Regions from separate parts of the Mus musculus genome. Here regions 2, 3, 4, 5, 6 and 7 are each reported to be linked to region 1. Evidence: microRNA targets listed by miRTarBase, many of them from high-throughput screens and not tested one by one. Region 1 holds a microRNA gene; each other region holds the end of a gene's coding sequence.

Region 1 (3,082 bases):
ACAATCTTCCTGCATCAGCCTCCAGACATGGGCTCACCAATCTTTCTTTCTTTTTTAATTGATTAATTAATTAATTAGTTAATTTGGTTTTTCTCAAAACACGGTTTCTCTGTGTATCCCTGGCTGTCCTAAAACTCACTATGTAGACCAGGATGCCCTAGATCTGGGTGATCCACCTGCCTTTGCCTTCCAAGTGCTGAGATTTAAGGCATGAGCTACCTACCATTCACTCACCGCCGCGCCCCCTGCAGCAGACTCCCCTATCTTAACCTGGGGGGAGGGGGCTAAGAGCTTGAGACTGGAGCCTTTCCAAATCTGGGGTCTCCCCTTTGTACTGGTTCCAGCCTTGGAATATGGTTCTCAGCATCCACCTTATCCTTTTAGCTAGAGATAGCTATCTCTATCTAAGACTATGATCCAAGCACTGACCCTTTTGTTCCTCAGGCTCCTTAGCTGGCCCGACAGATGCCCTTTCATCATTGCACTGCTTCCCAGAGGCCCACAGTAGTGCAACAGGGAAAGAGTGTCCAACAAGCCTGTCAGTCTCACGGGGTGGGGCGGGGCATGGGGAGTTGGGGTGGCTGGAGTGGGATCTTAGACCTAGAACGCATGCCCACCTGGGCGGAGCCTCGGCCTGAGCAAAGGATGCCCTCTGACCCCAGAGACACGGGCCTGGCTACAATCTCAAGTTTCCATGGAGAAGAGAGTAAAATGAGCAGGGGGAGGGTACGGCCTGCAGGCCTGAGGGGCCAGGCCTGGAAAGGGAAGAAAGAAGGAACAGTAGGTGAGGTGGTCTTCGAGGCTGGTCCCAGATGCTTTGACAATACCATTGCACTGCTTCTCACAGCACAGTAGTGCAACCTAGTCAGAGCACCCGCAGCCAGCAGGAAATCCATCGCCCTCGCTGCACGCAGGGCTGCGCTGGAAATTCAACCACCATGGGTGGGTGGGACATCTATCCAAGCTCGGAGAACAGACGGGATTCCAGCCCGGATGCAGTCCTCTGGACTTATTAACTTCAGGGAACTCAAACTTTCTCTAACAGGCTTCTGATTCTGGTGAGGTACTCCAAGGAGGGAGCTGAAGGGCGAGCACCCGAGGGGGCTCAAACACAAAGGAGAGAGGCCTGCGCTCAGTTGCAGAGGGGAGCACAGTGGGACTACTTGTACCCTGTTTCAGACCAGAACTAGAATAAGAGGGATACTTCACTCCTTGCACGTGAGGCCCTTGGAGTCCGAGATCCGGTCCTTGGTCCATTCCCCCAGTATGAGTTCTGCACTCTATCCTAACAGATTCTCCTGCCTAGAAGAGCAGAACTAGGGCTTCCTGGCATCTGGAGTTTCCCTGGCCTCACCGCACACCCTATCCCAGACCAGTTACTCACGTGGACAGACACCTCTTGTTCTCACCAGGGGGACAAGGTGAAGCTTAGTGGAAGATCCAGGTAGGCGGCGGCCCCGTCATATCTGGACAACCCCGCACCTCAGCACCTCGTGGCGCCCTCTCTCCCTCGGCTCCATCTTTAACCATCTGACAGTCCCGAGGGCCGAGCCCCGGGCCTCAAGGCACAGCGCCAGCCTCATTGGCTTGCGCCTACACCAAGCTTTGCCTCCTGCGCACCTATTGGCTGCTGCTGGAAAGATTTCAAAATAGCCTCCAGGCTCCGATTGGCCAGGCGCCCGAGTTTTGGCTCCACCGTTTTAACAATGAGTTCTACAAACACTTTCTCCTCATTCATAACTCTTGAAAAGGAGCTCTGTCCGCCTTTTCCCAGCTCATTTCTCTGTAGTTATTATAGTGATACTCATGAGGGCGCGTCCATGCTTACTACACAGCTCACCAAATTAGCGAGGGCTCTGAGATCCCGGCAAAGTGTCCTTTGGCCAAGCCAGCGGTTGAATGAACCCCTAGGGGATGCTTCGTATTTCGCGAGAAATTTGTTCATTGCTCCTCCAGGATGGGACATTTACTTAAAAACCGTGGCCTTCCCTCTTTCTGTCCAACTTCAGAGCATCGTCATCAGGAAACCTCTGGCTGGGCTGAGGAGGCCCTGGCACTTTTTGTAAGTGAAGAAATGCTCTGATGTCATTGATGTCATTGAGAATGTGAACCACTTTATGGGTAAGAGTTCATTAAGTGACCTTTCTGAGCTAATATGTCCAAAGATACACAGCACCTAGCACCCAGAACCTGAGGTGTTCTACTCAGTTCTGTCAGCGAAGGGAAAAACAGAGTTTTGCAGCTGGCGTCTGAGCTTTACCCCTAGTTATATCCATATGAGACAGGGAATCTTTACCCCCCAGCTCAAAGGCTGAAAGAAAATATTTTTAAAGCAGACAGAGCTGGTTTTCGATCTTCAAGAACTCATTTTGTCCACTTAATTTTAAATGTAATTTTTTGTGTATGGGTGCTTTGTTTGCCTGTCTGTACCACCATGTACATGCCTAGTGTTCAGGGAGGTCAAAAGGCTTTCTATCCTCTGCAACTGAAACTATAGAGGATTGTAAGCAAACACATGCATGCTGGAAATGAAACCCATATGCTCTGGTAGAGCAACCAATGCTATTAACACTGACCCATAATATCTCAGTCCCTACATTGTTTTGTCTTCTTTGGGAAAAAAAAGAATGCTGGTTTTTTGAGACATCGTATATCACGGCTGGCTAGTTGAGAACTCACAGAGTAGACCAGGCTAGCCTTGTGCTTATGGTAATCCTCCTAGGTTTTTGCAGTACTGGGGATACAGCCACCACACTGCATCGCTCCACACAGATACAAAATAAAACATCCAGAAATTCCAACATTTGGGAAGTGGAGAAAAGAGCCAGAAGTTCAAGACCAGCCTGAACTACATGAAATACTGTCTTTAAAGAGAGGGGGCTCACCAGAAAGAAGGCTCAGTGGTTAAGAGGGTTGGCTGCTCTTCCAGAGGACTCAGGTTCCATGCCCAGGATCCACAAGTTGTCTCAAAGGCATCTGTAACTCCAGTCCAGTATCGTCTTCTGGTCTCTAAAGCCATTGCATGCATAGACATATGGGCAGTCAAAACACCCATACACATAAAAATAAAAATCAAATGTAA
Region 2 (3,082 bases), not on the chromosome of region 1:
CACTATGGTGGTTGACTACAGAACCCGTGTGCTGAAGATCTCTGAGGAGGAGGAGCTGGACACCAAGCTAACCCGTATTCCCAGTGCCAAGAAGTACAAAGGTAAGAAGCCATACCTTTGGCATAGCTCTAGGTCTCCCTTCCCTGTCTGACTATATATATATGCATGCATGTATGTGTGTGTATATATGTATATACTATATATTGTATAGTATATGTATACTACATATACTATTTATTTATTTTATTTATTTATTTTGGTTTTTTGAGACAGGGTTTCTCTGTATAGCCCTGGCTGTCCTGGAACTCACCTTGTAGACCAGGCTGGCCTCGAACTCAGAAATCTGCTTGCCTCTGCCTCCCAAGTGCTGGGATTAAAGGCGTGCGCCACCACCGCCCAGCCTGACTGTATTTTTAAGAGTAGAAAGTCATTCTGAATTTGGGGAGAGGTTGATGCTTAATGGGCCTGCCTGCCTGCCTGGCGACCTCCATCCCTGGGAACACCCCCCTTTTTTTTTTCAGACATTATCCGGCAGCCCTCTGAAGAAGAAATCATCAAATTGGCTCCCCCACCAAAGAAGGCCTGAACAAGGGGGAGGAAGAGGAGGAAGGTTGGATCTTCATCAGACCACTCCCTTCCCCATCCTCAATGGGAGGGGCTAGGGCAACCCCCTGCTCCGTACCCATTTACTAACTTGGTCCTAACCCTTACTATGCGCGTGTGTGTGCGTGTGCGCACGCTCTGGCTGTCTGTCTGTCTAGCTCATCTAGTTCCTCCTCCTCATGAGGGGATTGGAGGCAAGGGAGGGGGGGCTTAAATCCCCCCACTATAGGGGGAGGTGGACGCTTTTTCTATGTAAACAGAAATTGGCACATTCCTCCTCCTTCTCCCCTTTCCTCCACTCTTCCCCCACATCTTTATGGAAGCAGAAAGGACCTGCATTTTCCTACACTGAGGAGCTATGGTGAAGATGAGGTATGGGAGAGATGGTTGTATCTAAAGAAAACCAGTGGGGAAGGAAGGTAAAGAGGCCACTCAACCTCCACCTGGTAAGGGACAAAGAAAAGCCAGGACTCAGTGTTTGTATCTCTATGCTGGACTGGTTAGAAGCCAGCTTCCTGCTGTTCCCTTAGGCTGAGGTCCTGAGTGCCAATGGGCCCTCCTTATGCCCTTGTTATGGGCCTGGGATGCGGATGAGCCAGAAATCTTAATGAGAAGACCACTCGATCCTTTCCTGGTCCCAAAGATCAAACCCCAATGGAGAAGCCAGCATTTACTGTCCCCCAACCTTCTGCTCTGGAGAGACGATGCCGGGACCATGCACTACTGAGCCTGAGCTAGGGACGCAGGCAGAGACAGGCCCACTTTCTGCTCCTCAGTTTCTAAATACAGACTGTTGGATAAACTGACCTGGAGCCTAGGGAGATTGGGGGATGAGATCCTTAGGTTTTAACCCCAACCTGCCCACAACCTACAGAGTATTGTAGGCAACCTTTCCACTCTCCAGTTTAGAATTCTCCAAGCAAGTAGTTAATTACAGTGTTTCCTTTGCACTGACCACCACCCTGATTCAATCCAGGAAGGGACTGGTAACCTTTCTCATTTGGGTTTGTGGATGCCACACAGTCAAGTCACTAGAGTGCAGTGAGTGAACCCAGCCTCCTCCCTGTCCCAAGATGCCCTTCCCCATCTTGACCGTGCTAACTGTGTGTACATATATATTCTACATATATGTATATTAAACCCGCACTGCCATGTCTGCCCTTTTTTGTGGTTTTTAGCATTAACTTATTGTCTAGGCCAGAGCGGGAGTGGGAGGGGATGCCACAGAAAGGAAGTGGCAGAGCCAAATTGTTACAGAGTCCAAACAGAAAAGAACACATTTCAACTAACCACAACAAATGTTACATTTACATGTGAGCTAAGAGACAATTTAGAGAAAGATGAAGGTAGGTGCTTTTAGGATGTGGGAGCAAAACTTCACAGGGAGGGGAGGAATGGCTGTCAGAAGAGGGTTCTTGAAGCCAGACTGACTAGAGCACCCTCAGTTCCTAGCTGAGCCCAGATTGCCCATCTCCTCTGGCCACTGCTGCAGACACCTGCCTTAACTCTCACACCTCGAAGACTCCAGCTTTGCCTTAAAGGTCCTTCCTAAATCTCCCTAGTCTTGCCTGGCATCTCCTTTAAGACAAGAAATCCTTGTACAACTGGGTGGGAGAAAGGAACTCTGGGTAACATCCTTCCTTCTGGGGTGTTCCATGGGAGCAGGAGTGAGACGGCGCTTCCCTTATGGAAGAGGGAGGAGACAGGGTGCTTCTCAGAAGCTTCTCTGTAAGGCAAAAACCAAACTTTAAACAGACTAACCTGCCCTAATATACTCACCCCCTCGTGCTGCTGTGAGGTTGCTCCTAGCCTGTGCTCCTCTGTCTGCAGCGTGCACAGCCTTGTTCTAACCCTGGAATAAAGGTGACTGACTCTACCGTACCTGACTGATTCTAGAATCTCTGTGGGTCACTAAGTTTGGGAAGCTCTGAATGACTGGGAGGGGGTGTGTAGCCATGTTTTCCCTATCACCACTCACTGCAGTATAGAACAAGGGACTAGAAAACAACCCCAAAGAAAGTGCCCCATCTCTTAAGCACCACTGACATTAACAGACCTATTTCCCTTACAACATTCTTCTATGGCTCAAGCACTAGAAACAGGGATATCCCAGACTTCACTTTTTAAGTATGAGCAAAATCAAGCATGTATCTGGAAGGAATACACTGTACACTATGTCCTCTATCACAATAAATGGACCACATACCACACAAAGCAGCAGTCAGGGGAAAAGCTTTACTGAGAAAAAAATACAACAAATTCCAGAGTGCATGGTTTTAAGCCCACCTCATCATCCCTCTAGCAGTGAGGACATAAGACTACTACTCAGTTACCACACACTCCCTGCCACGAAGGAAGCCCAGGAGCTGGCATCTGGCCTGCGCTGCTGGATGGGGTCAAGAGGAAAGAGTGTGTAGGATACCACCCTCCGCTCTCTCTCCAACTTCCATCCCATGGTGTAGGCCTCCTGACTGGACCT
Region 3 (3,082 bases), not on the chromosome of region 1:
TAAAGTGCAGGACCTTGTTAACGACGATGGTTTCTAGGGCCAGCTACTTTGGGTGCTCAGATTGATGCTGGAGGACCACAGTGAAGACCTGAGGGTGTTAGGGGACAGGCAGAAACTTGCTGAGACAGGATAGCCAGTAGTTTGAGTATAGACTGGACTACAAGATGAATTCCCGACCGATCTACCTACAGTACGGTTTCAGATACCACTATCTCAGCTCATTTTCCTCTCGTCCACACAGCACCCAAACACAGTACAAGTATCTGGGATGGCCATCAGCATTTGCACCCAGTGAGCTATCTGTGATGTCAGAATAGGAAACAACGGAGGTGAGAGGACCAGGGAGGACTTTCACACAATTTATCTTGCGTGCCCACCCAGATGTGGAGGTCTGAGGACAGCTTGTGGGAGTTGATTTGTCCTTACACCATGAGGGTTCTGGGGATCAAATGCAGGCCACTGGGGCTGGTGACAAGCACCTCTACTAGCTGAGCCATCTCTTTGGCCCACTTCTGTAGAACCCGGGAGCACAAGGAGAAGTTGGTGTGGACGCTCAGCGGCAGAGAGCTGTTTTGCACACAGCTGTACGTCAGGTGGAGAAAGACAGTTAAGACCTTGCAAATAGTTAAGATGAACAAGTCTCTAAGAAAAGACATCTCGCATGACTTAACATGAAGCTCTTAACCTGGGACGCCAGCGCTCCACTAAGGCAAATGTTTGCTATCAGAACAACTGGGACATTTCTATTGAGATTAAAGTTTTCCTAGGTAGACCAGGCTGCCTCACATTCCACACGCCCTAACATCTACACCAATCCTCTTGCTGAATTCAGCCTCTCCAAGCTCATGGCTATAGGCATGAGTCGCCACTTCTGGTTCCTGGAACCTCTTTACAAAAAAAATGTAGGTAAAGTGGTCACCTTGCACAGTGCTCATCGAGAAAGCAAATCCACAAACTATCCCTGGGAAAGAAGGCACTGAAGTAGGGTAGCAGGTTATTGTGGATTCTCGGGCAGAAAATGGTGTCTGAATTAAGAAAAATATCCAAGATACACTGTGCTTTTCTTCCTAACACGTTCCTGGGCTGACCCTGCACACCGTAGGGACTGTGTAAGTCTCTTCCTAACACGTTCCTGAGCTGACCCTCCTGTGTTAGCCAGCCTCTAGCCCTGAGAACAAGTGAGACCCTGACTGTACAAACAAGACAGTCTACTCCGCAGCATCCTAAATCCCAGCCCAGGAGGAAGTTAAGAGCAGCCCAGGAGGATTGCTATCATCTCTACCCGGGGACAGAGTGGTCACCAAATGTAGAGCACTGACACAAATCCTTCCCTGACAGCTCATGCCCCACGCCCTCCTTGCTGAGATAAGCGATTTCTGTCCTCAGTACTTCAGGCCTCTCCCTACAATTCTCTACACACACAGTACTTTTACCTCAGAACAGTTTATAAAGATTCCTTTAGAAGCAAACACACCTATGAACAAGTCATTTATGTGAGAAAAGTAATACCCTCTAAAATGAGGCTATATTTACAAATTTTATTTTTTTAATCTCAAAAATACATATAAATGAAAACCTGCTCTCCAAATGCAGACAGGCCTTTGCCTATCATGTGGTATTATTTATATCGCAAAACACTGACATATGAAACCCAGCACATAGCTCTGAAGCACACAGACTGTCAGTAAGGAGTATCTTTCTACTCACAGATCCCAGGTGGGAAGTTCAGACACTCGGCTGTCTCTTACTTTCCACCCGTGGGAGGAAAATATGAACACATGGTCAAAGATGAACTGGAAGTGTGGAAGCTACACAACCTCGTTTAGACACATACACACATCCCTAGGCCACAGCAAGGCCCCTCCTACAAAGTCAGTGTGGTGTTTCTCAAAGGGAGAAGAGAGGCGACATTTGAATAAAAATTCAAAGCTAAAGAAAAAGACCAGATGATCAAACTATGATGTCTGCTTCATGAAGAAATCAGGAATCCTCAGGGTGCAGATCTACAGACCAGTGCACAGTATGACAGCAGCTCCTGTTGGTAGAAGCCACGACCTCCCTACAGTCTTGTCACACAGACATCGCACAGAGTGTCTGTTTATCGAAGACAGCCAATAGAGAAGTCACGTGGTAAACTGTCACCCCCAAAACGAAGTGCAAAATCAACTTCTATGACTCAAGAGCTGAATCAGGTCAAAGCTTTGGTATAGGCTGGAGGCTGTTTTGGTGACAACCAAAGCTGACTAAGATTCTCTACTCTAGGATTTGTCCCCAAAACAAAACTCCTGGTCCACAAAGCTCAACAGCTATATAAATAGGAAACTGTACAAAGAGAAGAAGCCACCATCCCCTTTCCAAGGGCAGTTTGCTATGCAGCAGTTCTGAAGGTGCCCACCACACGCTCTGACCAGACTCGACATGCTGTAATTGGTGAGACTGTTCAGAAAACAAGGGCCCACAAGCAGGCAGCTGCTGTGCCAACTTCAAGAAAACATGAAGTGACAGTTCTCATACTGCAACATAGGCTGGGCAGCAACAGAGAAAAGACTTAAGGCAAGAAGAGGCGCTGGAGTGACCACCACAGCCTCCGGTAGGGACGGTTTCTAACAGTAGAGGCTGCCTCTCAGCTGCTAGCTGTCAGATACCATTTCTTCCTCCTCATCATCTTCATCTTCCTTCCTGTCAAGTTCAGAGGTGTCTGAAGACTCATGAAGCAAGACATATTCTCTGCTACTGAACCCAAATTTAAGTACGTCTTTTTCTTTCAGTTCATAATATCTCTGTGGCTCAATACGCTTGTTGTTCAAGAATGTTCCATTGCCTGAGCCAAGGTCGATAATGTAGGGCTTCACCCTCCGACCAACCGTGCCGTCAGCACGGGTGTACTCCACAAGCCTAGGAGAGACCAAGGAGAGAAGCATGTGAGCATCCTACCTGAGACCACCTGCCTTCTTTTCTAAAGCTCTATGCTACAGATCTAAATGGCAATGACTTGGCTTGAACAGGATTCAAATGAAAATTCTGGAATGTCACGGGGAAGTACTGCCCTGATGGGGAAATTCAGAGCACTTTACATAACCTA
Region 4 (3,082 bases), not on the chromosome of region 1:
TCTTCCTGAGCTTGGGGGGGGGGGGGGTCCTCAGCTGAGACTTAAATGCCCAGAAGGTGGGTGTCTTGAGATTCAATGTCCAGAAGGTTGTTTGAAGCATTAAATGCCATTGAGGCATTTTGAGCAAAAAGAGCAGCAGCTGTTGAAGGACTGAGCACCGTGAAGCTACAAGAGGGAGAAGGCTGTACCTGTGAAAGGCTGGAGGTCAGAGGAGGAAGTAGCTCACAAAGGTAAGGAGATGGCTGATGTCTTAGTTAAGTACATAGAGAGCATCAGCGCTTTAAGGGGGAATTTTACCTTAAATGACTTTAGACAGTAAAAATGCCGTGGCTGTTGTAGCAAAAAAAAAAAAAAAAAGTGGGCTTCCCGGGGTTTGGTGGTGCTTCGGTCGGGTCTCCGGCTCTCATTCAGTGCAGTCCTTCCAGCTTTGCCCAACTCTGGCTTGTGATTCAGGCTGGCTTCACTTGTAAGTACCAAAAGAGAATGTAGTTCCAGACCTCAGATCCCCACAGCACCAGAAAGGCAGCCCAATGGGAAGAGTTACCTTTATCCTCTCGCTGTTTTAAGAAGTGGGTTCCTCTGGAGACCACCTTTGACAGGGCTGAGCGAGTGTGTAAGATGATGGCTCCCTGAGCACACAGCTTACAAATGCCTTGACATGCGAGCCCAGAAGGGATAAGGTGCACTGAGCACATACTATGAATAGCAGACTCCTTAGGAACAGGGCTCAGTACCTCCCCTCTAACTGACTAGTAGAGTCGTGGTCTCTCCAGATAAAAATTGCTAAGAAATAGAGTGCCAAAATGTCACAGGCATGGGGCACATCTCAAGGTAAGAAAGATGCAGAAAAAGTGACAGCTGTGAACCTGGCTTACAGACATTAAGTCGATCAGAGTGGGGAAGACCAGGAGGGAGTACCAAGCTGCCACTGCCAGAACCAAGCTGCAGACACCGGCCAGGGCAAGCTGGTGTGGGTGGTCAAACAAAACACTTCAGTGCCCTTTGAGGCAGAGCCAAAGACAACACTGGGCCTTCCCTTAGGGAGGAGCCCATTCCAGCCTGTACACAGGAAGGGGGAAGTCAGGGTCACAGGGTGGCCACTGAGTTAGAGCTTCTATGTAGGCGGTCAGGAACCTTTAAAGTCTCTTTAAAATTCCCACAGGATGTTACACCCTTGTCAACAAAGGACACAGCTGCTCTGCCATTACCTGCAGTCATCTCCCAGACAGTCTTCTCAGGAAAGGGAGATAACCTGGTAGGGACCTCCCAAAACTGCCACTGCCTCACTAAATGATGAGGCAGACCACTTTGAAAATCTTTATTGCCTTAAAATATCTGGTATTGCACACAGGAAATACAAATTATGTTGTTTTTTTTAAATAAAGAAATGAATTAATAAAGAAATGAATTGAGTAAACACGTCCACTTTGAACAATTAAAGAAAAAACACCTTTCTCTTGACAGAAAGTAAGGCATCTCTTCCATCCCTAACACTCCCTCCACCAGGCGGCTGCTTCCCTCCCATCCACTGCACAAACACACACATATCTGGCCCGATACCCCAGTACTGCAGGCAAACGGGGTAATCTGGTATGCTAAGGCCAGACAACCCAACAGTCCATGACCAGAGTTGCTCAAGGCATAGGAACAATTAGCTGCCAGTTTCTCTTTGGGGAAGACACTATGAAAGCCCATGAGTATAACCAGCAGACTGGGTGGGTAAAAAGGTCAACTGAGATTGGTTTAAAAATAATCCTTTTAAATGTAAAATAACTGACAAAGATTCTCGCCAGCAGGGACAGGGAGGGGGTTTGGTTGTTCAAATAGTCCTCAACATGCATGGCCTCATGTTTAACTGGAGCAGACATGTCTATTTTAAGAGCCACCTTCTACCTCTCTCCTCCTGAGGAGATAGCCTTATGTGTCAGAGTAGAGTGAGTGAGACTAACTTTTAATAAAGGTTAGAGCCACGAGCCCCTGATGGCTGCATTTCACAGTGCAATATCCAATGAAGATATTCTGAGTGCTTTGGGACACAGAAGGCCATGGGCGAGCACCACCTTTGTAGGAAAACACCTTCCCATCCCAACTCAGCCCCACACACACTCCCGGCAGCCCCCTCCCTGCACTGTCGCACCTAGGCAGAGAGCCTTCTCTAATCGCTTTCTCCTTTGTGGCCACAAAGGTTTTATCTGGTTTATTGGTGTTTAGTCTCCTTGACTCTAGGAAAGACGATCTGAAGAAACACTGCAGTTTGGGGGGGGGGGGGGCAAAGCCAAGAGTCCGGATTGAGCTGCCTTGGGATGATGGAGGCCTGTTGGGGTGCTTCCTCTCGTGACCCTCAGGCAGAGCAGTTCGCCCATTTGCAGTAAGAAGTGCTCTTAAGACATTAGAAAAAGTTAATATCCTGAATAAGCTTTCTTAGGATAATTTTGCAAGCATTCTCCACGAGAGAAGAAAGGGATGAGAGAAGGCAAGAGACCAAGCAAGGACGGACTTCAACACCTCCACGGCCTCTCCCAGCACTAGCCCAAGACCTAAAAGGGAGTGGGGACCAGAATCCAGTCTGCATCTGAAGAGAGGTGAGGTTTTCCCCGAGTAAACCATGCAGGTTCTCGGGTAGGGTCCAGTAGGCTCAGGCACTGCCGTGCGAGGCACACATCTTCCAGCTGCTTCGAAAAGTTTCCCCATGAGAATCTCAGTACTGGCAGTAACAGCTAACTGGAACCAAGAGGTGAGTGTTTGTGTTCCTGAGTATCTGCCACCTCTCTCAGAGATGAGCCTCCGACACGACGGGTACCTTGCTGGTATTGCTCCCCTCCTCCTCCTCTTCCTCCTCCTGGACTTTCTAGAAGGCAAAGAAAACAGCCCTATAATTGAAACATACAGACCTCCTCCAGGCTGACTGAAGCAGCTACCTGTCCGCGACCAATCAGTGGTAAGTCCAAGCTCAGGAGGCTGCCCGGTGTCCCCATAGGCATGAGGAAAGAAGCAGCCCAGCCTGAGTGTGTCCCCCAGACACCATCACCGTCACCATTCAGAGGGAACAAAGCCAGCCTTCTATTCCCTAGCCCCAAACCCA
Region 5 (3,082 bases), not on the chromosome of region 1:
GAAGTTATTTTACATCAAATATCTATGGTAACAAGTAATAGGGCTATTACAGTCAAATCTAAAAGGTGTGCTTTAGAAATCCCTCTGTATTTATTTGTAATATACTAACCTTATGAAAGCGTCAAGTCTCATAAACTAAAGCTCCTGCCGGGACCATCAACAGTTATAAGAACTATGACTGTGAAACAGCTTGTTTCATAAATGCCAGCACAGTGACTGTCTGTACACAGCCAGCCACTCTCTCCACTTTGCAACTGACGGGAAGAGTTACCAAGTACCCCCCATAGAACGGGTATTTAATTTACAGAACAAATGATCTTATGGGAGATGACAAACTAACCTCTATTTAAAAAAAAAAAAGTCTAAAATAAAACATTCCTTAAATCATAAAGACCAAGATGATTTTAAATTTATCAACACAGAACTTCACTTCTGATGAGAGACAGAGCAGGAAGTGTGCTGTGAGCACTGAGCCCACACTGTGAAGACCCTCAGCCATCACTCTGAGCACTACCCTTTCAATGCTCAACACAGTGCCGAAAACTAGAAGCAACCCCAAATTTAAGCCTAAAAGATGGGGAATTTTAAAAGACAAAAACCATGCGAAGACCCACTGTGACACTGGAACTGCTCTGAACCTAAGAACTTCTATTTTTACTATAGGCACTCACTGGAAGTCAGAACAGTCCCTCCACCCCCACTTCATTATACACCTCAGAGCTTTTTGAAAAAATAGTCTTTAAAGTTATTTTGATAACTGTTTAATTTACTCAATAGATGGAAAGCCTGGTGGGTCATCTGGGTAATGGCCTATAATTATATAGTTTAACTTGTACATATGAATTGATTTGGATCTGACACAATCTCAAACCAAAGTTTAAAGATTTAAGTTTTCCCTCCATGAAAACAGATGAGATCCCCAAAATGTACAAAGAGTTCAAGACTATGCCCAAAATGCAGGCAAGCCTCAACAACACCAGCTAGATTCTCAGTGGCAGGTTGGTCAGAGGGGACTAAGTCTCAGGCACGTCACCTGTCAAGTACATACAAAGCACAACTTCCCAGTAAGGATGGCACCCAACTGCAGTGCTTAAAGTAAACACCGCGACTTTAGAGTATGAGAATAGACAGCCATCACTGCAAAAATACATCCACTATAAATACAACATGTGAGAAAAGTGATGCTTATATCACTTAAACCAATGCTTTAAAATTTTTTTAAGTTACTTTCTAACAGGCATTACATACTGTGTATGCAATTTCAGCTTTTTTGATGGCACAGAGTTACTACTTCTCAACTGGGCTGGCTGTCCCTACGGAGCCTTTGGCAGGACGTGCTTTCCATCCTTGTTCTGGACCCTTCCTTTCGTTAACATTAATATGCTATGGACCAATAAATCAAGTTACCAAACTATTAAACACATTCAAAGAAATGCATATACTCTACATACAAAATTCATAACTTAGGGGTATTGTTCAAAGATTTCTTTTTAATCATTTCAATTCTTAGTTGTATTTGGTTTTGATGAAAGGGCCAGATTATCCTGGGATGAACGAGGCATTACTACATATAAATATTTAAACAGTTCATTTGAATATTAACAAAAAGATAAACTAAAATTAGTATTGCTACCTTTTTACACAAGTATTTCATCACTTTAAGGTAACATTGGGTTCCTTTTTCTTTATCCCCAAACCAACAGAAACAAATGTTTGATAGATAGTATCAGTCTGTCCAGAAAGTGAGGGGGGAACCTCAGGTGCAACCATGTCACAGTCAATGCATGTCTGCTTCCAATACATTCAAAGACAATGAAAACAGAGGGGAAAATAGTTAAAGTAGGCCTTTTGCAGTCTGAGAATTCAAGATCTTTAAAAAATATTTGTAAATACACATACATGCAAATTCTCCATATTTACAAATTTCACAAAATTAAGAAGTTGCAGAGAAATTAGAAGTAGCATGGTGAATCTGACAAGCTACATTTAAATGCTTTTCCACTGTCACATTCCTGAATATAGCAGTCCTAGTAGTTTTAATAAATTTTCTACATGGCCTTTTAAAAAAAGTTAGTCACTAGAAGTCTTTAAGAGTTCAAGATGTTCTCAACTCACTACTCATTACATTTAAGGCCACTTTGGTAAAGGCATTGCAGCAAGAACACAAAAACAATAGCATATTTTCTAAGATTTATTTTGTTCACCTGCAAACTGTAGCAAAACATGATCAGCTTTATTCCGCAGACAGGTGTCCTCCACATCTTTAAAGAACTTAGCCGTGTATGAATAGAAGAGCTCTTGAGAAGGAAAAATTCAAGAATGAATAAAACCTTCCAATTTGAATTTCCCAGAAGCAATGCTTCAAATGATTTTAATCATTCATTCCAAGCTATATGACAGCACCTTAAAAGTGGCTCATCTATTTCCCCAGTAACATTTCTCACATAACAATGTGTTAAAGTTACAAATACTGATATGCACAAATAGCTAATTTCTAAGAAAAATATGTACAGTACTGCAGCATAATGAATGTGGGATCTGCAATAACTTAACATTAGCCAATTTTTAACTTACATGATGCCGCTACCTTTTCCTGCCAATTCACAAGTGAAAAGTTGTTGCTGAGCCCTCTGTTTTGCACATATTACCTGGTGTTTAATACACAGTGCAGGCATTTTAAGGACTTCTTTCATGTTTAAAGCTAAGATCAGTGAAACAAGACAACAGTGCAAGAGGCGAAGAGATGTAATATGGTCACATAAACGTTCGTTCCGGTACAGAGTCTAAGTAAGGCTATAAGAAAGGGTTGGTGGATGAGCTTCCTGTTGGAAGTTGTCCTGTCGGCGCACCAGTCTGTCGGGAACAAACACAAGGACAAAGTCAACAGATAGAAATGATGTCGGGATGGGATGAGATGAGAGCTTTCACACACATGCACGGCTTGAATATGCCTAAAGGGGAACCTAGCACTTAAAGAAGAACTTGTAAGTTCAAATAAAAAAATTTCATTCTTAGGACTCCTCTTCCCTAAATCTAGCAGTTTCTCCTCAAGCATAATTTGACAAGCGTGCATGCATTTCAT
Region 6 (3,082 bases), not on the chromosome of region 1:
CATATTTATATAATAAATATGCTTTGGTTCATTTTTCAGTGCCTGTGCATATGAAATTTTTTTTGTTTTTGTTTTGTTTGGTTTGGTTTTTTTGTTTTTGTTTTTTGTTGCTTTTTTTTTCAAGACAGTATTTTTCTGTAGACCAGGCTGGCCTTAAACTCAGAGATCTGCCTGTGAGTCTGGGATTAGAGGTGTGAGCTACCTCCTCCTGGCATTTTTAAAAATATATTTCTAAACCATATTTATTACTTGGTAGGAGAGGAAAGACATGAGCCGGCTGTGGTGGCACATGCCTTTAATCCCAGCACTCGGGAGGCAGAGGCAGGTGGATTTCTGAGTTCAAGGCCAGCCTGGTCTACAAAGTGAGTTCCAGAACAGCCAGGGCTAGCTACACAGAGAAACCCTGTCTCAGGGGGAAAAAAAAAAGGAGAGAAAAGACATAATTTCTCACAGATATGTCATTACCCTTTACTTATTCCTCTAAAAGCATGCCTTTCAGGGCTAGGGAGACACTTCAGTGATTGAGCGCTTACACTGCAAGCAAGCATGGGCAAATGCTCAGTGGCTGGGCATGGCTCCAAGTGCCATAATGACAACATTGACAGGGTGACCACAAGCAGGGACAGGCAGGTCCCGGGAGCTGGTTAGCCAGCATGGCAGCCAACATGGCAAAAACCTGTTTCAAGTCAATATGGTGGAGAATGATAGATACCTAACTGTTCAGGGATGGGCAGGTCTAAGGCTTTCTCAGAGGCACCAGTGAAAAGACAAAGGGAACCTACTGCTGTGTCTTTGCCCAAAAGTAGACTTGGCAAGGGCTGGGCTGGTGCTGGGGCCAGGGCCTCAGAGGAGTTAAAGGATTTGGTCCCTAGAAACTTGGCTTTTTCCCCTAAAGAGGCTGGAGTAATCAGTCCTAAGGCCACTACGTGCTCTGTTGTGATGAACTTGAGGAAGCCTGTGTTCCCTTTTGTACAACATTGCTGGACTCACTTCATGCTAACTTCATTCCATTATTCGATAGTTTCTGTTAACTCTGTCCTACTCTGCTGTGGAAATAGAATTTAAGATGCTGTACTTGTTAAGCTTGCTAAGCATAAGATCTCCAAACACCAGTGTCCCCACCTTCTCATCTCCTACCTGTCTCACTGAGGACCCTGCCACTGAAGAATGACCTGTTGGTGCAGCTCACTTGACATCCTGCTCTGGCCTCATGTATCCTTCAAATGCACTCATGTGCCACACATACAAAGCATGTCTTCAGCAGAGTGTTAACTCCAGCCTATAATCCTAGCACAAGAGAGACTGAGGCTTAAAGGCTGCTGCGAATTCAAAGGCTTGCCTGGGCTACACAGTGAGTCAAAGGCAGCCTTGGCTACAGTCTTGAGAGCCTATCTCAAAAAACAAAAAACAAAGCAAACCAACAAACAAAAGCATACCCTCCATCTTTAATTGTAAGGCTCCTTCCTCTATTACCGTTCTCTTTAACTAATCTCCTTTACTATAGGTCTGATGGCAGGTCTGTCCCTCACCATTCAATCTCCTCTATGACGTGAGAGAGGAGTATCAAGAGTTCTCCAGGCAACCCTCAGTGGAGTGAGTGGTCTATGACACACTAAAATGGCCTTTGGGAGCCCCTGTGGGAAACAAGGGTGCAGCCCCTAACTTAGCCGCCTGACAGCTGTTGCCTCACATTCAACATTAGCTTCAATGGCCCTCCAAAGTCCTGAATAGAAAATTCATTCTACCTAAGAACAAAGCCCTCAGACCTTAAAATAATACCTTTATACTGCCAGTCATTTCCCCCAAGTATAATAAATCAGTTATTTATTTAAGTACTTTATAAAAGAAAATGTATTGTAAATAATCAAATAAAGTCATAGTGAAGTTGAATATTTATTTGAATTTCCCCTGTAAAAGCACTCAATATGTAAGAAAAATAAACCAAGTTTGTGAGACTTTAAAAAAATATATATATAGCCATTTTTGAAAGTGAAAAGTTGGATTCTTTTTTCAATGGCAACAAGTAAGATACTGTTATTTTAAAACTACCATTTAAAAAGTAGTATTTTTTTAAATGTATACTATATTAACATGATGTGTTCTACAGAATGGATACATATATGAATGCCAATCTGAATATGGAAGAAATATATGTGTTAAAAATCACATGTTTAAAAAAAACCAAATGTTCTTTTAAAAAGAACCTGCTAGTAACCTTCATAAACTTTCACATGCGGGATTTATTCTTTAAAAAATATCCCATTTATCCCATCCCCCCAAGAAAAGAAAGAAAAAAGGCAAAATGTGCTCAGTTTGAACAGAGCCATATGGAACCACTCACTGCTGTACAACATGGAAGCCTAGTTATGTGGCCAATAGCAACTTCCTAAAGTGCATCTTTGGAAGATTTGTCTAATAATTCCAATCTCAAATGTAAAATACTTAACACAGACATGCAATAACAAAACTAAATCATTATAGTGTAAAGTTTTTAAAACTACTTTTAAAACTTTTGATTCACCAAAGAATAAAGACATCAATACAGTAGGCATTTTCAGTCTCCAACAGTGCACACTATGTGCGCTTGTTATTTGGCAAATCTTTTGGAGTCGAACAAAAATAATGCAGTCTAAACAATATTTCTCTGTCAAATATAATCGATTCCTCAGGCAAAGCAGTAAAGCGCAGAGAAGAATTAGATTTTGGGAAGTTTTGGTGCGTTGACCACAGGGTTGGCCTCCTCTAAGTATCTCCTCCCTGCACTTTTGTAGTCGTAAGTGCAGCCGTGAGCTTCTGCATAACGGTGAGATGCACAGAAGTTGTTTCCACATCTAAAGCACAAAGAAACTTTATGTGAATACTCACATTTCCACGGAGGGCTCATCTCTTTAGCTTGACTTAAAGTGGACCAACAAAGCCCTCTGGATCTCCTTAGCAATTTCAGTACCAACAGTTCCCCCCCCCCCACTTCACGCAGCAGTATAAAGCCCCCAAAGAACTACTTGTTCATGAATGACAGCTATACATCTTATTGAAGTAAAAAAAAAAGAAGAAAAGCTAGTAAACATGTCTCTTGTGTTAG
Region 7 (3,082 bases), not on the chromosome of region 1:
GCTGGTAACAGCACAGATAACCGGCCACGGACCAAGGCACTTCTACAACTTCATCACTCTCTACTGAACCTGTCAGCCACAACCTGGTTAATTATTCAGAAAGCATGGTTGTATATAAAAGGAATGTGTCAATACCTTTGGAAAATGAAATGCTAAAACTCCACTGTGCTAAGGTAATTATAAGACCCTTCGCCCAAGCAAGGGGAAAAAAAGCACAACTTTGTTTTTTGTTTTTTGTTTTCCCTGTTTAGACTGGCTTGTATGTACACGATTTCAGGGCTGACCACTTGCAACTGGATTACCATTTTCTAGGCTCAACACTGGGGCAGATGGATTCTCCTCTCTCAGCAATGATGAATTTCCTGTGGTCTTAGGTCTCTGGTGAGGTCCTGTGAGACGTTCCGCATCCATGTTGCCATGTCAACTGTTGATGTCACTGTTCAGGCAACCATATTGTTGTGGTATGATGGGTGTGCAGCTTCCCTGTCATTTCTAAGAAACACAAAATCAAGGCATATTTCCTGGTTCTCTGGCTCTTACAGCTTGCCTAATCTTTCTGTGCACCCTCCTGCTGTGTCCCCTGAGCCTCCTGTGCAGGACTGTGCTGTAGCTGTGTCAGCTGGCATCGGGCACTCTGTGGTCAGCTGCTCTCAGCATTTTGGGCACTTGTGGATTTCTGTTATGGTCTCCATCTGCTACAAAAAGAAGTTCCTCTAACGAGGGATGAGAGCTCCACTCATGGATCCACAACTGGATTTAGCATGCAGTTAGGAATCATGCCAGTTCAGTAAAGTGACAGTGACAGGTTCTCCTCTAGGATCCTTCCTCATTTGTTTTTTATCCCAAAAGAAAAACACTCAAAGTAAAGCATGAACATTTAATTGCCTTTAAATAATACATGAAATAATTTACATGCTATACATCCCAAAACACAATGAACATAAATCTAATTTTATGAGACATTTACACAGACTTTTGCCAACGTATGTCCTGTACGTCACTCAGGATGTTTTCTGTGTGAGCATGTAAACACATATATACATGTGAAGTTGAAAATTAGCATAAGGAACCCAGAAGATGACTAGGAAGTCTGCCACAGAAGTCTAAAACCACAACTTGACTGGAACCAAGGCACAAAACCCTCCTGTTGTGGACACAGAGATTAAGTTTCCTTTCTCAATGTCTAAACACTGTTCATTATACATTGTAATTTTTAGTATATTTCTGTTACTTTTTAAAATGCAGTGTTTTTATTACATAAGGTCTTACAGAAGTGAATTGGAAAAATAAGGACTAGATAAAATCATATACGATAAAGCTTTCCTTTTTTTTCCCAAAAAAAAAAAAAAGATACATATGTTCAAAACTAACACAAGAAATACTACAGATATAGGTGTGGTCAGGAGGTATATAAGACAATGTACACAGATTTTGTAGTGCCCCTGAACTGTACCTCACACACCATCAATGATATTAAACTTTGAGAGCCAGCTGGTAATACTGACAGTTGTAAGTGATTTTTTAGAAAAGATATGTATGCCCCAGTGCACAGAATAACAATGAGCCTATAAAGCAAAATAAACCTTTTCCTGCGTCAAAGCTGCTTCTGTTGGACATTAGCTGGCTCCCCCAGTGCTCCCTTCTCTGCCCCTCCTATATTAAGAGTAAGGAAATATGCTCCACACAAAAATGATTGCTTTAGAATTCGTAACCAAGCAAAATCTCCACTACCCGCACTTCCCTTTTTCCTTTACCTGAAAGTTTATAGGCAGCTACAGTCAAGTTAAAAATGTATTTAGTACTCAGAACGCTTTAGAGCTTTGCCACTTTAAATGTACAGTTATCAAAGGATTAAAGCCAACCACAGAGTAAGAATTAATAGACTGCAGTAAGCCGAAAGTAAATGCCAAATGTGCTTATACTAGCCTAAGAAATGAGTCCTCTAAGCTGTGAATAATGAACTGTCAGCTGCAGCTTGGAACAAATGACAACGAGAACAAAGCCTTCGGTAACACTGATTTTAAATACGGGTGGAGCTGGCTAATTACAAACTAGCAGAGTATGTCTACAACTTTCCATGGTGGAGCACTGCAGTGTGCGGCCCCCAAGTAATCAGAGTGCAGTTAGTTCTTCATATGAAATAAGGCTGATTAAAGGAGAGATCAAACATCCTGTCCTCGGCTATAAAACCCACAGAATAAACTGAGAGTCTACTTTAAGGCTGTCCCATAAGTACTTTTCATGGCACTTTAATGTTAAAACGTCACTATATTTTTGACTATATATTTGGATTTTTGTGACTGCAAAATCCACAGTCACACAGCTCCAGAACTGAAAGCACATGCCACATCAGTCACTGAGGGTTCAGGTTGTCAGGTCTGTTTTCTCAGAGTTAGAGGAAAGCTACTGAGCGTGGCTGGAATTAACATCTGAATCAACAGACTGTCAGCTCACCAGTCCTGTGTAACCCCTTTCCAGTACATACACACACTAGCACTCACTTCCTACAGAAATGAGTATGTTCTTGTTACAAATGGCACTTAGCTGACTCACTCCTCTCAAGAGTTGCTATGATCCTTTTCTCAGCTACCTACTTTCTCACTTACTGCTAAGCCCCAAAGTCACTCAACAACCCCTCCTGCCCATGTGTACAGACCATCCTCACAACTATACATTTCTTACACTACAGTCATCCAGGGATCACGGAAGGAGGCTAACAAGTCATTCTGGCCACCCCGTACTCCAAGCTGACCACGGTAGGCTCCGACTTAGAAAATTCCTCGGCATAGTCACAGTAGCGATTATCTGCTGGGCTGCTGCCCTCTATAGCTCGGAGTGTGTCCTTCACGGGAAGCAGACTCGGCTCTTTGAGACACAGCGAGGTTTTCAGGGCAGGTGATTCAGGGTGGACAGCATGCAGCAACTCCTTCGTTAGGATGCCATTTTTGCATTGCTTAATTTTCTAAAGCAAAACAAAACGTTGAAAAAACATTAGTAACTACAGCTAACAGGTGATCGATCTACATGGAGTGAAGAAAATATGCTTTTACAAGTGTTCCCCTTGTGTATGATACACAATTAT

Evidence for each region. Region 1 holds the annotated microRNA mmu-miR-301b-3p (CAGUGCAAUGGUAUUGUCAAAGC, at 815-837, opposite strand). A microRNA usually pairs through its seed, bases 2 to 8, with sites in the 3' UTR of a target mRNA and lowers its output. Matches are read on the target gene's strand: a 7mer-m8 pairs with bases 2 to 8, a 7mer-A1 pairs with bases 2 to 7 and ends in A, and an 8mer does both.
Region 2: miRTarBase lists Pea15a as a target of mmu-miR-301b-3p. Seed matches in the 3' UTR shown: 7mer-A1 at 1,320-1,326 and 7mer-m8 at 1,549-1,555.
Region 3: miRTarBase lists Snip1 as a target of mmu-miR-301b-3p. Seed matches in the 3' UTR shown: 7mer-m8 at 2,154-2,160.
Region 4: miRTarBase lists Flvcr2 as a target of mmu-miR-301b-3p. Seed matches in the 3' UTR shown: 7mer-m8 at 1,996-2,002.
Region 5: the mRNA of Agfg1 is a reported target of mmu-miR-301b-3p. Seed matches in the 3' UTR shown: 7mer-m8 at 2,726-2,732.
Region 6: the mRNA of Zfand4 is a reported target of mmu-miR-301b-3p. The part of its 3' UTR that is shown has no 7-base or 8-base seed match.
Region 7: miRTarBase lists Mtmr6 as a target of mmu-miR-301b-3p. The part of its 3' UTR that is shown has no 7-base or 8-base seed match.

Annotation. Positions count from the first base shown.
Region 1 is chr16:17,123,606-17,126,687 of GRCm38, forward strand. It overlaps Mir301b (microRNA 301b), which reads right to left and starts at 891; the gene lies at 795-891. 2610318N02Rik (RIKEN cDNA 2610318N02 gene) reads right to left here and starts at 1,597. Exons shown (of 7, transcript NM_001358255.1): 1 at 1,385-1,597. It overlaps Mir130b (microRNA 130b), which reads right to left and starts at 537; the gene lies at 456-537.
Region 2 is chr1:172,196,130-172,199,211 of GRCm38, reverse strand. It overlaps Pea15a (phosphoprotein enriched in astrocytes 15A), which reads left to right. Exons shown (of 4, transcript NM_011063.3): 3 at 1-101; 4 at 522-2,484. The coding sequence ends at 586. Dcaf8 (DDB1 and CUL4 associated factor 8) reads right to left here. Exons shown (of 14, transcript NM_001357204.1): 14 at 2,819-3,082. Among named protein-coding and RNA genes, the nearest start is that of Pea15a, 9.1 kb to the left of the region's middle.
Region 3 is chr4:125,072,479-125,075,560 of GRCm38, reverse strand. It overlaps Snip1 (Smad nuclear interacting protein 1), which reads right to left. Exons shown (of 4, transcript NM_175246.5): 4 at 1,518-2,895. The coding sequence ends at 2,631. It also overlaps the pseudogene Gm18480. Among named protein-coding and RNA genes, the nearest start is that of Snip1, 7.3 kb to the right of the region's middle.
Region 4 is chr12:85,811,808-85,814,889 of GRCm38, reverse strand. Flvcr2 (feline leukemia virus subgroup C cellular receptor 2) reads right to left here. Exons shown (of 10, transcript NM_145447.2): 10 at 1,305-2,848. The coding sequence ends at 2,771. Among named protein-coding and RNA genes, the nearest start is that of Erg28, 12 kb to the left of the region's middle.
Region 5 is chr1:82,894,770-82,897,851 of GRCm38, reverse strand. It overlaps Agfg1 (ArfGAP with FG repeats 1), which reads right to left. Exons shown (of 13, transcript NM_001368850.1): 13 at 1-2,853. The coding sequence ends at 2,794. Among named protein-coding and RNA genes, the nearest start is that of Agfg1, 57 kb to the right of the region's middle.
Region 6 is chr6:116,329,098-116,332,179 of GRCm38, reverse strand. Zfand4 (zinc finger, AN1-type domain 4) reads right to left here. Exons shown (of 10, transcript NM_001309446.1): 10 at 1,876-2,831. The coding sequence ends at 2,696. Among named protein-coding and RNA genes, the nearest start is that of Marchf8, 7.4 kb to the left of the region's middle.
Region 7 is chr14:60,300,153-60,303,234 of GRCm38, reverse strand. It overlaps Mtmr6 (myotubularin related protein 6), which reads right to left. Exons shown (of 14, transcript NM_144843.4): 14 at 864-2,962. The coding sequence ends at 2,714. Among named protein-coding and RNA genes, the nearest start is that of Mtmr6, 36 kb to the right of the region's middle.